Linked DNA regions of Stegostoma tigrinum. The protein of the gene in region 1 purifies or fractionates together with the protein of each later gene. This does not show direct contact. Links are inferred from orthologs where the notes say so. Each region holds a gene or a part of one and is shown on either strand. Other genes may lie near its edges.

Region 1 (8,120 bases):
CGCACCACTAAAAGCCAAAATGCTCACCAAACAGAATAATTACTTGGAATATATTTTAAAGAAGCTTCATAATTCATTTGCCTCTAATTAGTTGACATATTTAACATTTTGAAATTGAAAATTTGAAATTAAAACATCAATTTTTGAACAAATTTGGTTTTCATTAGAATAATATTTGCTACACTAAGATTAAACAACACATGATTTTAAATCTATGTAGGCTCAACTACAGCAAGTTGAAACTATAGACATTTGAGAAAAAAACAATTGTGGAAATCAGTTGGAATATCTTGGGAATTTGGACATGGCTAAGCTACATTAATTTACCTTTTTTGTAGTCATGTGGCTTAAAAATACCAGAGAGTCCTCCGATGCGTATACCACGGTAATTTACCACACCAGCATACCCTCGAAACAAATAACATATGTTACTCTAAATACACATTTTGAATAAGCCTACATGCAGTAAGTCACACATTCTTTAGCATTTATTTGCTATAAACAAAATCAGCCAGTTCTCTTAAATTGTCGCTGTGTTACTATACAATTGCTTTTTCACTTTAGGCAGAATCATTGACAAATATAAGGCAAGAGAAACTATATTCATATTGACTCTGCATAACTCGTTTTTAAAAAAAAAAATTCACCGAGTGAGGGAGTTGCTGGCTAGGCAGTGTTTATTGCCCATCCCTAGTTGTGCACATTGCAGTTTCTTTCCCTACAGCACTTTAGTGAACATTATGGATTTTTCCAACAATTGACAATGGAGTCACGGTCATCATTAGACTCTTAATTCCAAAATTCCACCATCTGCCTTGGCACAATTCAAACCTGGGCCCTCAAAACGTTATCTGGGTCTCTGGATTAACAGTCCAGCAGTAATATCACTAGGCCATTGTCTAGTGTCATGTGTTAGATGATGCAAACCATGTTGTCCTTCTAAACTCCCCCTCTATCACATGCACAATGACCCTGAAATGTTGACAACTCCATACTGACAATTTTATTCATCATTTTCAGAATATATACTGAGCACTGTCAAAGATATTTCCTAGATAAATGGACAACTTTAAAATTGAGACATGACAAAGACTTGCTTCCATCTTCCCAAATAAAGCATATGATCAAATATCTTCAGCAAAATTAAGAAACAATTAATTCTGTCATCAGACAACACATTGATCTTGAGGCCTGACATTGTAATACATATGTATTCACTACATAAAAACGTGAGAGATTTAATACCTAAGTAGTAAATGTTTGGTGCCACCCATCCTCCATAAGGCAACTCCTGTAAGTGATTAGAGGCTTCGTGATTGCCTCCTATGAAGATGGTAAGAACAGGGGCTTTCTTTTCTCCAGAGTAATATCTACATGTAACAATTCAACAAATAGCATTTAACTTCACAAATAGCTCACTTCGAGACAAAACTTCAATTGTAATTTACTGGTGTGTACTTCTCATTAGGTATAAAAACTCTACATGGAAATTTTAAAAGACATTTTATATTACAAACAGTAACAAATGCAAATGCTTAAATAGCAAGCATTTGAATACAATAGCTTATACGAGAGAATCAATCTTATAAACAAAAATGAGTGCTTAATTTAGAAAAGGACAAAGTAACAAGGTGATACAAAAAAAGAACAACCTTGAACACCTACTTACTTGTAGAAAGTTTGCATTTGTCTGTATTTAACGGGTACAGCCATGCAAATCATGTCAGCTTCATTCCTGACTGCTTGAAAATCTCCACAGCACAACAAGAGGTCCACCTTAACATTGTCCTTTTTCTCCAAAAACTGAATACTCTCATAGATTTTGTCCAGTTCACCATGGCAGCAACCTTCTACTGCTACCTTCATTGTAACAGTGTGCAAGAGCTTGCACTACAAGTTCCAATGAGCTGGGTGTCTTTAGGAGCAATCTCCCTTCCTGGGCCCTATTTAAGCACGCTCATGTCTCAGTGTACTGACCCAATTAAACTATCATAGATTCTGAAATTAAAGAAAGGGCAATATTTATTAATTACTGAAGTTAAATTTACAGATACACACAAAACACAGCTTTTTATTTACTTGCAGGCTGTTAAATAGTCATAAGGAGACTCAAAAAAGGAACGTTCATATACACTGAATTTTCAAAGACCATTTGACAATGGAATTGACAGGTAAAGTATGACTGCTTCAATTCAAGCAATGAACTACTTATAACTGTCAATGTCCTATTAGGCCTGGATTCTGAATCAAACTATTACAACATATTTTTTAAATTATCACTGTTAGCTTAATAACTCACCAGAATGGCAAAATAGCAAAACATGCCTATTCCTACAAACTATAAACAATATGATAAACAGTTTCTCTGAAAATATTTTGTATGAAATAACAATCAGACATTAATGAATTACAGATACTAAAAACTTAATCCTATCAAACAAGAATACATTCATAGACTTAAGTTTGGGGGTAAAAGTTTAAATTCTTATTCAGTTCACTATTTCAAAGCATGGCAATCTGAATAACACAAATTGCATCTGTAAATGGTAGCATTTAGTTTAAAAAAAACTGCAATTAGATGTATTTTAGGTTCAAGCCTGAGATGCTAAATCCAGGTCACTAACAAAGCATATCAACATCTCTACTGAATTTACCAATCCCTACTTCAGAGGCATACTTCTGAAAGGCAGTTATGTTAAAACAGGATTATACTTAGTCATGTTCAGCTTGTGATGAACTACACAATCTGACAGACAATAAAGGTAAAGTCACCATAGTCCGACAGGACTATAGAGCTGCTCTCTCAGACAGACATACAACCTGTAGTGAGTTTAACCTGAGGGTAACCAAACTGCAGCAAGGTTAAGGGGCATCATTCATGGTGACCGCAGCTGGCACAGGAATTGAACTGTTGAACACTGCTGGCATCATCCCAGATTGCAAAACAGCCATCCAGCCAACTGAGCTAACCAACTCCTGACAGCCAATAACAAGGAATCATCACAAGGGAATGTCTCACACTCGGACAACCAACTCACAAACCTTAAACATTAGAGACAACGCCCTGCCTGCTAATGTTGTTAACTCAGCCACATTAGGGGCATTTAAACAGACCTTGGATAAGCAGATGGATGATGATGGGATAGTGTAGGGGGATGGGCTTGGATTGGTTCACAGGTCGGCGCAACATCGAGGGCCGAAGACCCTGTTCTGTGCTGTATTGTTCTATGTTCTAAAAAAGATGTGAAGAGGATAAACAATAACTATATCCAACAAGCTTTATAGGAACTCTGAGCAAAAATCTTACCATGTTTTCAAAAAACCCCACAAATTTAAACTGTTAATATTAAACATCAACTGCAGTAGTACCCCCACTATCACTAAATCCTGCTATTTGAACATGGAGGGATGACTAATTTCTAATTTTTACTCCAAGTTTTTTTGTGACAGGGAACGTTATAATCTAGATGATTCATTTAATCAATTTTTTCAATTATGTTAAATCTGTCTGATCAAATTCTAAAAATTGAGATACTGGCAAAAATAAAAAGGTGATCCTTACAATTGTTTTTTAAAAAAGAGAAAATCTCATCTTTCTCCCATTAACAGCACTGTCAGAAGTTATTCAGAGAACTAGCTGCTGCCAAGTGCTATTCTGAAATAGCAACTCATCAGGTGCATTTCTGCTGGAAATGCAAGCAATTTGACTTGGGATTCACAATCCAGCCTAATCATTAATACTTGGCACTTGCATGCAAACTTTCTGCAATCAAGATCAAGGACTCTAGCCAACTGTTTAGCCCACAGGACCTTAAGCCAATGCGACAAATAACCTAGAGAGTTAAGCAAACAGTCGTCTTATCTGTCCATCTCAGAAGTACATTGAATGAATCATCAGCTGAATTTAATAAAGGCTTTCAACAGGGACTGGAAATTAGAGAATTTGTTGGGTAAACAAAAGGCCAGTGGCAGATGTAAAACATTGCGCACCCTGGGCCTAATTCAATGATCTAAGGTTATTGTTAAAGCGAACACGGATGAAGAATTTTCAGTGAATTTAAAATCTACCTTTCCTGACTTTCCAAACAAAAAGAAACAGAAAATGCAGCAGTTAACACAAAGCTTTTGATTCATTTGAAACAATTCAAATTATTGACCAGCATTATTTCACTCAAAAATAAGGTCACTGGGATTCATCACCACCTCAATACATTAAAATAAGTGTCAATATCAACAGCAAACGCATAAATAAAATGCTACTCTACGTCCAGGCCAGCTCCCTCGGGAAATCGCGTCAGAACCATTGATTTAATACCAGAAGTCAATGAGACAGATGACAATACAACACTGTTGTGTGCATAATTATTCTCAGGCCTGTAAATATCAGGGAGCCATCAGGTGGTTTTCAAGGAGAGTTCACTGAAATATATAGCGACGCAGCGACTAATATCTTATTCGAAACCAAGCCCAGCACTTTTTTTAAAAATGATACATTCTCCCAGTCTTTGTGGAACCTCGTCGGCCCTCCCTTCGGACAGATTACGGGCGTGGAAGCAGAGGTGAGCCATTTGACTACTGGGACTGGGACTGGGACTGGGGCGGGGGGGGAAGATTTGCTTTTTTTGAGAAACAAAAGCAGAAATTGTTGGCAAAGCTCAGGAGGTCTGAGGAAGAGTCACCGAGGGCCGAAACGTTAACTCCTGACTTACCGCCAGACCTCCGGAGCTTTTGCGGCACTTTCTGCGTTTGACTCCGATGTTTTGAGGCCGGGCTTCACTCGCGCCCGCGATCTATCTCCCCCTGCCCCTCCCCCGGCAACCCCGGGCTGGACGGTAACGGGGAGGGAGTGAGAGAGAGAGAGAGGGGCCCTCGGTGGCGGGTACTGAAAAAGCCTGTTCCTCCCTCAGTCAGGCCTCGAGGGCGCCCATCAGGAGGTACACTCCGACTCAGTCCGCCGCTTCCTACCTGCCCTCCCTCGGGACAGATGGATGGGTGGCGGACGCTATAAACCGCACTCGAGAAGCCCCTACCGGACAGCCGCCCGCACGGTGCCAGCGCGCATGCGCCACCCGTGCCCTACGCCTCCTCCCCCTCACCCACACAAACCCTCCGTTAAAGTAAACTCAGCACCGGGAGCGCCGCAACATTCAACACTTTTTTTACTCGAAACGGGAAACAGAAGACAGAGAAAAAAAGTCAGCAAAACAAAAAAAAACCTTCCGAAAATCGACCGGCGAAATAAACATCCACGACCAGAACAAACAAACTTGTTAAATAATCTCAAAACCATCACTTACAGCTCATCCGAATCTGCTGGCAATGGATAAGGTAAATGTAAATCGTTCCAAGCCTCACTTTCAACTAAGTTGATGTTTGGGTAAATTTAAAAAAAACAAAATCTGTAAAAAGAGCTAGTGGCCGGGCAAGGCTGCAACGTCTGTCATGTAAAGGCCTGGTAGAAAGTACGGCTATAGTCGTGCGGCTGCGCAATGCAGTGTTGCTGGGCCCGGACGGAAAGGGAAGGAGCAGGGGCGGGGCCGGTATCCGTTGGAGCGGGTGGGGCTAGCGGAAGTGCGTGAGGCTGGGATCTACTGTGAGGGTGTGCCAGGGACGGGTCTGGTGGGAGGGTTCGGGATTTTTTTGAAACGGGTGGAACTGGGAATCTGGTGGGAGGGTCAGGGGTCTGATGGGCGGGGCCAGGAGCTGAAGGGAGGAGGCAGGAAGGGTGCGGGGCGAGGGCCGAGAGCTGAGAAGTAGGGGCCCAGGCGAGGGGGCGGGGTCAGTGGGTGGGGCCGGGAGAAGTGGGCAGGACTGTGGGCGGGGCTAGGCAGGGCGGAGAGTGCAAGTTCTGTACGGGTACAGCCGAAAGGGGCGGTCTGTGGGCGGAGCCGAGAGGAGGGGGCAGGGCTAGGGACGGGTCTGGGCGTGAGGGGGCGGGGCTTGAGCCGCGGTGCTGCCGCTGCGGAAGATGGCGTGTCTGCTGGAGGCCCCAATGCGGATGAGTGTGCTTTCGGTGAGTATGTGATCGTCCGTTCGCATCGACTCGGCCTTCTTTAGGCCTAGATTGGGCTGTGATCTCTAAGTGGATGGTCGACATGGTCTGGTGTGGGAGGTGGGCGGTGTTTCCATGCCCCTGCAGCTCCTGTGTTTTAATGTTAGACCTCCGGGAATAGAGCTGCAGGTTTGGGCCTGAGAGTTGCTGTAAACCTGCCTCCTTTAAAATATAAATCGCTAGCTTCCATGCATCCCTCTGACCGTTTAATATTCGATACGCAATCGTATAAAATTGGATGCATTTAATTACACATTGTGCCTTTGTTTTAAACTTTGTGTTAAAATCTAATTGGGTTCAAAGCGGACATGTTTATTAATACCGTATCCATGTTTACACTTGCTATTCGGCACTGGCCATTCCCTTAAATCGCAATTTCTTTAATTCAGAAACGAGCAACTGATAAGAGTAGGAATAGTCATGTGCGACCCAGAAGGAGGAGGCCATTTGGCCCGTCCAGTTCATGCAGGCTACCTGGAACAATCCAGTCAGTTCTGTTCACCTGGTCCTGCAAGTTTATTTTACTTTAATGCCAATGAATTCCAGTTTGATATCATTTATTGTCTCTGCATCCGACACTTCTAGGCAGCAAGAACCAACTCTTCACGACTAGTGCGTTAAAAAAGTCCTTCCTCACATCCCAGAAAAAAAAGTTCTTCTAATTGTGTAAATATGTGCAAATGAATTGGGATGGATAGTGATTATTTCCTGCATCCATTGCCACTTCTAAGTTCAAAGATCTTTATTAGCTGCCTGAAAATGCTTCACTGCCCAGAAATCTGCACATTACAGGCTGACTTAAACGTTGAAATTAAATTTATGTAGGAACAGAACTATTTGTTGAGAATCCAAGTAATAAGAATAAAAAAATGAAAATGATAATTGTGCATCAATGGTTGAACTCTTGCTTCTGAATCGAGTGTTACACTGTTGGAAATGCTGAAGATAGTTTTGGAGTTTCCTCTGAGGTGGGACAAAAGGATCCAGTATACTGAAGGAAAAGCATAGAGCACTTCTCCTTGATATCTAGACTAATGTTTATCTGACCTGAATCAGGTTTTCTGTGACAAAGGCAAAGGCAATCTGTTCCTCCTTGTTCTTCTCAACTGACCTGCAGCCTTGAACACAATACAATACATCACATCACCCACTACTTCTATCCACCACCTCCTCTCTCCCCCTGTTTATTTCAGAATCTCGTCCCACTTCCCCATTTCTTAAGAAGGGTCTAGGCCCAAAACGTCAGCTTTCCTGCTCCTGTGATGCTGCTTGGTCTGCTGTGTGTGTTCATTCAGCTCTACACCTTGTTATCTCAGATTCTCCAGCGTCTGCAGTTCCTACTATCTCTGAAACACCTTCCAGTGTCTTACCACTCTCCGTAGCGCGACAGGACTATACTCACATGGTTTCAGAGAATCAGCTCTCTGTTGTCAGAGAATTACTATCGTTATCTTCTCTTCATTTTTCTGCACAGTCACCTCTGTTGCCCATCTCTCCCTCTTCCTCTCTTTTTCATCCCCCAAAGGAATTTATCTTTGATTCACTTTTAATTTTCATTTGCACGCTATCTCAACAGAAACATCCAAAACTATATCAGTTTACATAAGTGTACACGGATAATGCCAATTTCTATGTCACCAGCATCTCTGTAAATTGTCAGACTGCATATTCATATGTAGCACCAGACAAGGAGATGTCTTCTCCCATTAAATATTGGAGACAATTAAGTAATTGGCTGTCTTTGAGTGATGCTATAAACTCCCTTTCCTAACCACTACCCTGTTTGTTTGAGGTTTAACTTTGCAACTTTGTTGTAGGTAGCCACAAAATGATCTGTCAGGTGCACAACTGCCATCGTTAAGGCTGCAACTTCTGTTTACATAACATCATCTAATGCCTCACTTTGGCTCCTCCACTGCTAATACTGTCATCCATATGTTTATTGCCTTTATTTAAAATTCTTATCCTTGTTTTCAAACTCTTTAATGTCTTAACCTCCTATGTCTGTAATCCTCCCAGCCTCCCAGAGATATCTGTGCTTCACTAATTTTGGTTTGTAGCACATCCT
Region 2 (8,164 bases), on another chromosome or scaffold:
GCACACCACCGAGTCGCCCTTTATTTACACATGCACAGTACCTAACATTGAGCAAGCTTCCTCAGAAGTGCTGATATTCCTGATTATATCTGTCAGCCCGGGCTCCCTGATTGGACCAGATTAACAACCCCAATCAGGGAAACTCATGTTCTATGAGGCTGATCTCATTACAATTATGACACTATCTCTATCCATTTCGTGTCTCACCTTATCAAACAATGCTAAATAAATTTGTCAGACAATAGCCTGCCCTTGACGAGCCCATGTTGACGGTCTGGCATTAACTTATATTTACATTCTCCACTACAGTGGGCTCCCACCAGTTTTCCACTCTGTAGTTCCCACATTATCCTTTGTCTCTTTCCTAAACAACTATGTCATGTTTGCAATGCTCCAGTCCCACAGGACTAATCCTGGGTCCACAGACGATCGGAAAATTTCCATCAATTGCTCTGTAATTTGCTCCCTTGACTCTCTCAACAATCTAGGATCCCATCTGGGCCGGGTGCCTTGGCTGTCTGGGCTCCTGCCAGACTTGTTAGAAACACTTGCTGGTCTATCACTAAACTGCTCAGAGATAACGGGAACTGCAGATGCTAGAGAATCCAAGATAATAAAACGTGAGGCTGGATGAACACAGAAGGCCCAGCAGCATCTCAGGAGCACAAAAGCTGACGTTTCGGGCCTAGACCCTTCACCAGATCCTAGACCCTTCTGCTCCTAAGATGCTGCTTGGCCTGCTGTGTTCATCCAGCTCCACACTATACTGCTGAGTTGCTCAATGTTCACATTTATAACTTGGCCATTGTCACCATCTTTTGATTTGGTAAAGACAGAAGCAAAGTACACACTTAGTAACTCTATCTTACCCTTTACTTCATTGAGTAACTCACCCTCCTTGTTCCTCATAGGTCCAACCCTATCCTTCACTAATCTTTCACTATTAATATGCTTGAAGAACACATTACTATTTGTTTTAGTTCCATTCTTACTTACTCTCAGGCCTCCTTATTCCAGCCTTAGCTGGTTCACGTCATATTTGTCAGCCCAGCACCCCATTTTGTCGCATGTGAACACAGACAGCTTCACTATCTGAGAATTCACGACTGGTGCTGAACATTTTGCAACCTTATGATGAAGGAAGGTCTTTGATGTGGCGGCTGAAGATGGTTGGGCCTGAGACTCTACCCTGAGGAACTCCTGCAGAGATGTCCTGGGGCTGAGATGATTGACCTCCCACAACCACAACCAGATTCCTATGAGTCAGGTATGACTCCCCAAGGCACGGGCATGATGCAAAACTCCCCACTGACTGAGACCGAAGAACGCGTAAGAAACACGACTCCAAAAGCCTGATTGGCATCATATTCAACATTCACTCCCTCCACCATTGATGCAGTTAGGCAGCATCTTGGACAGATTCTTAATGTGTAAGGGAATTGAGGATTACAGGAAATGGTACCAAAGTGGGGTTCAGAATTATCAGATCGGCCATGATCTCATTTAATGGGGGGAGCAGACTCGATGGGCTGAATGGCTCCTATCTCTTATCATATGGTCAGTGTGCAAGATGCACTGCAGCAATTTACCCAAGATGGACAGCACCTTCCAAACCCATGACCACTTCAGTCTAGATGGACAAGGGTAGCAAATACATGGGAACACCATTCCCTTCAAGTTCCCTTCCAAGCCTCTCACCATCCTGACTGACAGTCATAGAGCCGAACAGCAAAGAAGCCAGTCCAAACCATCTGTGCCAACTAGACATCTCAATGTGACCCTGTTCCATTTGCCAGCATTTGGCCCATATCCGTCTACACCCTTCCTGTTCATGTCTCCATCCAGATGCCTTTTAAATGTTGTAACTGTACCAGCCTCCACCACTTCCTCTGGCAGCTCATTCCATACACGCACCACCGTCTGCGTGAAAATGTTGCCCCTTTTAAATCCTTCCCCTCTACGTTAAACCTATGCCCCTCTGGTTTTGAACTCCCCCCCCTACCCTGGGGGAAAGAGGTTGTCTATTCACCCTGTCCATGCCCCGGGGAAATATATCACCGTTCCTTCACTGTCACTGAGACAAAATCCTGGAAATCCCCCCCAACAAGGGCAGGGGGACTGCAGGTCATCAAGAAGGCAGCTCACATTCACTACCTTCTCACGGGGCAACTAGGCACAGGGCAATAAATGGTCCCACAGATGATGATGCTCATATTGTGTGAGGGAATAAAAAATAATTTTACTCCAAGTGGGGGTGTTGGTTTGGAAAGTGAAAGACGTGGGACCAGTGATCCATTGTCTCCTCTGCCTAACCCTGTTATCCTATAACCCTGACCCTGTTATCCTATAACCCTGACCCTGTTACCCTATTACCCCGACCCTGTTACCCTATTACCCTGACCCGGTTACCCTATCACCCTGACCCTGTTACCCTATCACCCTGACCCTGTTACCCTATTACCCTGACCCTGTTATCCTATTACCCTGACCCTGTTACCCTATTACCCTGACCCTGTTATCCTATAACCCTGACCCTGTTACTCTATCACCCTGACCCTGTTACCCTATTACCCTGACCCTGTTACCCTATTACCCTGACCCTGCTACCCTATCACCCTAACCCTGTTGCCCTATTACCCTGACCCTGTTACCCTATAACCCTAACCCTGTTACCCTATCACCCTAGCCCTACCACCCTATCACCCTAACCCTGTTACCCTATTACTCTGACCCTGTTACCCTATCACCCTGACCCGGTTATCCTATCACCCTGATCCTGTTACCCTAACCCTGCTATCCTATCACCCTAACCCTGTTGCCCTATTACCCTGACCCTGTTACCCTATTACCCTAACCCTGCTACCCTATCACCCTAACCCTACCACCCTATCACCCTAACCCTGTTGCCCTATTACCGTGACTCTGTTACCCTATAACCCTAACCCTGTTACCCTATCACCTTAACCCTATTATCCTGACCCTGTTACCCTGACCCTGTTACCCTATTACCCTAACCGTGCTACCCTATCACCCTAACCCTATCACCCTAACCCTGTTGCCCTATTACCCTGACCCTGTTACCCTATAACCCTAACCCTGTTACCCTATCACCTTAACCCTGTTACCCTGACCCTGTTACCCTATCACCCTAACCCTGCTACCCTATCACCCTAACCCTACCACCCTATCACCCTAACCCTGTTGCCCTATTACCCTGACTCTGTTACCCTATAACCCTAACCCTGTTACCCTATCACCTTAACCCTATCACCTAACCCTGTGGCCCTATTACCCTGACCCTGTTACCCTATAACCCTAACCCTGTTACCCTATAGCCTTAACCCTATTACCCTGACCCTGTTACCCTATAACCCTAACCCTGTTACCCTATAGCCTTAACCCTATTACCCTGACCCTGTTACCCTATAACCCTAACCCTGTTACCCTATAGCCTTAACCCTATTACCCTGACCCTGTTACCCTATAACCCTAACCCTGTTACCCTATTACCCTGACCCTGTTATCCTATTACCCTGACCCTGTTACCCTATTACCCTGACCCTGTTATCCTATAACCCTGACCCTGTTACCCTATCACCCTGACCCTGTTACCCTATTACCCTGACCCTGTTACCCTATTACCCTGACCCTGCTACCCTATCACCCTAACCCTGTTGCCCTATTACCCTGACCCTGTTACCCTATAACCCTAACCCTGTTACCCTATCACCCTAGCCCTACCACCCTATCACCCTAACCCTGTTACCCTATTACCCTGACCCTGTTACCCTATCACCCTGACCCGGTTATCCTATCACCCTGATCCTGTTACCCTAACCCTGCTATCCTATCACCCTAACCCTGTTGCCCTATTACCCTGACCCTGTTACCCTATTACCCTAACCCTGCTACCCTATCACCCTAACCCTACCACCCTATCACCCTAACCCTGTTGCCCTATTACCGTGACTCTGTTACCCTATAACCCTAACCCTGTTACCCTATCACCTTAACCCTATTATCCTGACCCTGTTACCCTGACCCTGTTACCCTATCACCCTAACCGTGCTACCCTATCACCCTAACCCTATCACCCTAACCCTGTTGCCCTATTACCCTGACCCTGTTACCCTATAACCCTAACCCTGTTACCCTATCACCTTAACCCTGTTACCCTGACCCTGTTACCCTATCACCCTAACCCTGCTACCCTATCACCCTAACCCTACCACCCTATCACCCTAACCCTGTTGCCCTATTACCCTGACTCTGTTACCCTATAACCCTAACCCTGTTACCCTATCACCTTAACCCTATCACCTAACCCTGTGGCCCTATTACCCTGACCCTGTTACCCTATAACCCTAACCCTGTTACCCTATAGCCTTAACCCTATTACCCTGACCCTGTTACCCTATAACCCTAACCCTGTTACCCTATAGCCTTAACCCTATTACCCTGACCCTGTTACCCTATAACCCTAACCCTGTTACCCTATAGCCTTAACCCTATGACCCTGACCCTGTTACCCTATAACCCTAACCCTGTTACCCTATAGCCTTAACCCTATGACCCTGACCCTGTTACCCTATAACCCTAACCCTGTTACCCTATAGCCTTAACCCTATTACCCTGACCCTGTTACCCTATAACCCTAACCCTGTTACCCTATTAACCTGACCCTATTACCCTATGACCCTGACCCTGTTACCCTAATACCCTGACCCCATTGCCATATAACCTTAACCCTATTACCCTGACCCTGTTACCCTATCACCCTCACTCTATTACCCTGACCCTGTTGCCCTTTGACCCTTCACCTCCACACGGTGTTAATAAAGTTGCTTCTTGTTTCCAAGATGGCGGCGCCCATTGCCCGCTCTCTCCGCTGGTTCGGGCCCGGGCTCCGGGCCTTGGGGACGGGCCGCGGGGGGCAGCCCGGGCTCCGTGCACTGGCGTGTGGGCTCAGGCCCTGGGCCGATGGCGAGGAGCCCGGTGCAGGCTCTAACTCCAAAACCTGGTGGGGCCTGGGCCCCGGGGCGCTGCTGCTGCTACTGTGGCGGGATCGGGAGCGGGAGGCCGAGGCCCGCACAGAGCCCAGGCCGCCCTCACGCCTCGGGCTCCCCGCGCTGTTTCTCCCCCAGGTACAGGCCGCTCGGCCCGTTCCCCCAGACAGTCCCCGCTTCAAGTTCAACTTCATCGCGGATGTGGTGGAGAAAACAGGCCCCGCCGTGGTTTACATCGAGATCCTGGGGAGGTAATTACCGGGGGTGGGGGGGGTGTGGATATGGGGGTCAGAGAGGGTTTGCAGGAGGCATGGGGGGGGTATTAGGGTCAGAGAGGGTGCGTTGGGGGGATATGGGGGTCAGAGAGGGTTTGCAGGAGGCATGGGGGGGGTATTAGGGTCAGAGAGGGTGCGTTGGGGGGATATGGGGGTCAGAGAGGGTTTGCAGGAGGCATGGGGGGGGTATTAGGGTCAGAGAGGGTGCGTTGGGGGGATATGGGGGTCAGAGAGGGTTTGCAGGAGGCATGGGGGGGGTATTAGGGTCAGAGAGGGTGCGTTGGGGGGATATGGGGGTCAGAGAGGGTTTGCAGGAGGCATGGGGGGGGTATTAGGGTCAGAGAGGGTGCGTTGGGGGGATATGGGGGTCAGAGAGGGTTTGCAGGAGGCATGGGGGGGGTATTAGGGTCAGAGAGGGTGCGTTGGGGGGATATGGGGGTCAGAGAGGGTTTGCAGGAGGCATGGGGGAGGTATTAGGGTCAGAGAGGGTGCGTTGGGGGAATATGGGGCATGGGGTTTAGAGAGGGGTATTTGGGGGATATTAGGGCATCGGGGTGATTGTGTACGGGGGATGGGGGAGTGTGGGTTTCGTATGTGGGTTAGAGAGGTTTTGCGGGGGAACATGTGGGGCTCGGAGGGGGAGCGCGGGGGGTAGGACGGGCCTCTCAGAGGGTGTGCAGGGTGGAGGAGTATGGGGGTCAGGGAGGGTGCACGGGGGGAATATGTGGGGGCGCAAGGGGGAGGATGGGGGTCAGAGAGGGTGTGCAGGCGGGTACTGGGGTCAGAGAGGGTGTGCAGAGGGATATATGGAGGTCGGAGGGGGAGTGCAGGGGGGAGGACGCGACTCTGAGAGGACGTTGGGGGGATGAGTCCGGGAGTTGGGGAGGGTGTGCAGAGGGATATATGGGGGTTAGAGACATGTGTCTGTGGGGATATTGCGGCGGTTAAGAAGGCCTGCGGGGTGACTTGGGGTATAAGAGGGTCCTCCAAGCTGATGTGGCGGGGGTGGTGGTGTGGAGAGAGAGAGTCTGCAGGGGCTTATTGAGATATTTACTTGCGGGGGCGGGGGGGGGGCCGGCGGAATCGCTTGGCAGGTGAATTACAAAATGGGAAAATGTGACGTTGTGCGGTTTGGCCGGGGGGATAAGGAGCTGAATACCACTTAAATGGAAAAACACATTTGGAGGTGCTGAGAGAACAACAAACATACCAGGGAGATTAGTCCCCGGAAGCTGAGCACAGGGTTCAGGGCATTTCAGGACAAGGGCGTCGTCGTCTTATGAGGACATGAGGGCCCTTGTTTTACACCGTGAATGGTTTGTGTGTGAAATAAGCTGCCAGAGAAAGTGGTGAATGTGGATACAATTACAACATGTAAAAGACATTTCGATAAGTTCATGAATAGGGAAGGTTTGGTGGGATACGGGCCGGGGCAGGCAGGTGGGACTGGTTTAGTTTGAGATTATGTTCGGCATGGCGTGGTTGGGCCCCAGAGCCTGTTTCCGTGCTGTATGTATCTCAGGACATTGTGGGCAGCTGGGGGAGAAATTGCTGGGCCCCTGGCAGAGATATTTATATCTTTAACAGTCATGGGTGAGGTGCCAGGAGACTGGAGGGTGTTAACAGTGTACTGTGATTTAAGTAAAGATGCAATGAAAAGCCAGAGAACCAGTGAGCCTGGCATCAGTTGTTGAAGGGGATCCTGAGGAACAGGATTTACAGTATTTCGAAAAGCAAGGACTGATCAGGGAAGGCGAGCATGGCTTTGAGTGTGAGCAATTATCTCTCTCAAACTTGAAAGGGTATTTGGGAACCTGAGGGGCACCTTTTTGTACACAGGGGGTGGTACGCATATGGAATGGGCTGGCAGCGGAAGTGGGTGAGACGGGTACATTAACAACATTTGGCAGGCATTTGGACAAACACATGGGCAGGAAAGGCTTAGAAAGGTCTAGTGCAGGGAAATGGGGTTAGCGTGGATAGACTTTTACGTTGGCATGGGCCAGTTTGGGCCAAAGGGCCTGTCTCTGTGCTGCGGGACCCTCTGTCTGTAAGTTGGACTGGTTCGGTTTAAGAAGGCTGGTCAGCATGGAGGAGTTTCACAGAAGGGCCTGTCTCTGTGCTGTATGCCGCTGACTGTAAGATAGGCTATAGAACAGAGCAGCAACAGGGACTGTTCTGTGTTATGAGGTTGTGTGTATACTCACTGGAATTTAGGTGAGTGCGAGGCAAATATGCAAGATTGCTCAAGGACTCGACAGCGTAGATGTGGAAAGGTTGGTTCCCCTTGGGGAGGGTCTGGGACCCGACGGTGTCGTTGCAGAATAAATAGTTGCACGTTTAAGACAGAATTTCTTGTGAAGGTAGTGAATCTGTGGAATTCTTAACCGTAGATGGCTGTTGAGCTTGGGTCATGAAGTACATTCCAGCTGAGATGGACAGATGGTTGATCAGTGAGGGAGTCAAGGGGTGGGGGGTAAAGGGAGGAAGGTGGGGGTGAGGATTATCAGAACAGCCATGATCTCATTGAGTGGTGGAGCAGACTCAGTGGGCTGAATGGCCTATCTTATGGTTGAGAAGGAGAGGAAAGGGGCTTAGTTGATGTATGATGGGTCTGAAGGGAGTAAGATTGAGTGATTGAGGAGCAGGGAAGGTTAGGGGGAGGGTGGTGGAGAGATTGCTCCTTTGGGATGGAGTGAATCTGACCAGAGAATGGGAGGATTGCCGTACCAGACCCTGTAAGGCGATCTCCTTCCTCCCCAGGCACCCGTTCAGTGGCCGGGAAATGCCAATTTCCAATGGCTCGGGTTTTGCTGTGACAGAGGACGGCCTGATAGTGACCAATGCCCATGTGGTTGCCAACAAGAGGAGGGTGAGGGTGAA

Evidence for each region. Proteins that work in one complex are often made in the same cells at the same time.
Region 2: the proteins of armc8 (region 1) and serine protease HTRA2, mitochondrial-like purify together in Homo sapiens (affinity purification with mass spectrometry; 5 studies listed by BioGRID and IntAct, with this or other methods). This does not show direct contact. The link is inferred for Stegostoma tigrinum from reciprocal best matches to the Homo sapiens genes ARMC8 and HTRA2.

The regions. Positions count from the first base shown.
Region 1 is NC_081360.1:29,305,002-29,313,121, forward strand, and holds the start of armc8 (armadillo repeat-containing protein 8), read left to right. Parts: upstream 1-5,073; 5' UTR 5,074-5,297; coding exon of another isoform or gene 5,298-5,304; 5' UTR 5,305-5,319; coding exon of another isoform or gene 5,320-5,328; exon of another isoform or gene 5,329-5,521; intron 5,522-5,911; exon of another isoform or gene 5,912-5,968; coding exon of another isoform or gene 5,969-6,013; intron 6,014-8,120. Other genes in the region: dbr1 (lariat debranching enzyme), read right to left, coding at 328-408, 1,246-1,370, 1,670-1,866. UniProt on the Homo sapiens protein: Component of the CTLH E3 ubiquitin-protein ligase complex that selectively accepts ubiquitin from UBE2H and mediates ubiquitination and subsequent proteasomal degradation of the transcription factor HBP1.
Region 2 is NC_081354.1:188,103,271-188,111,434, forward strand, and holds the start of serine protease HTRA2, mitochondrial-like, read left to right. Parts: upstream 1-4,842; 5' UTR 4,843-4,859; coding exon 4,860-5,257; intron 5,258-8,044; coding exon 8,045-8,164.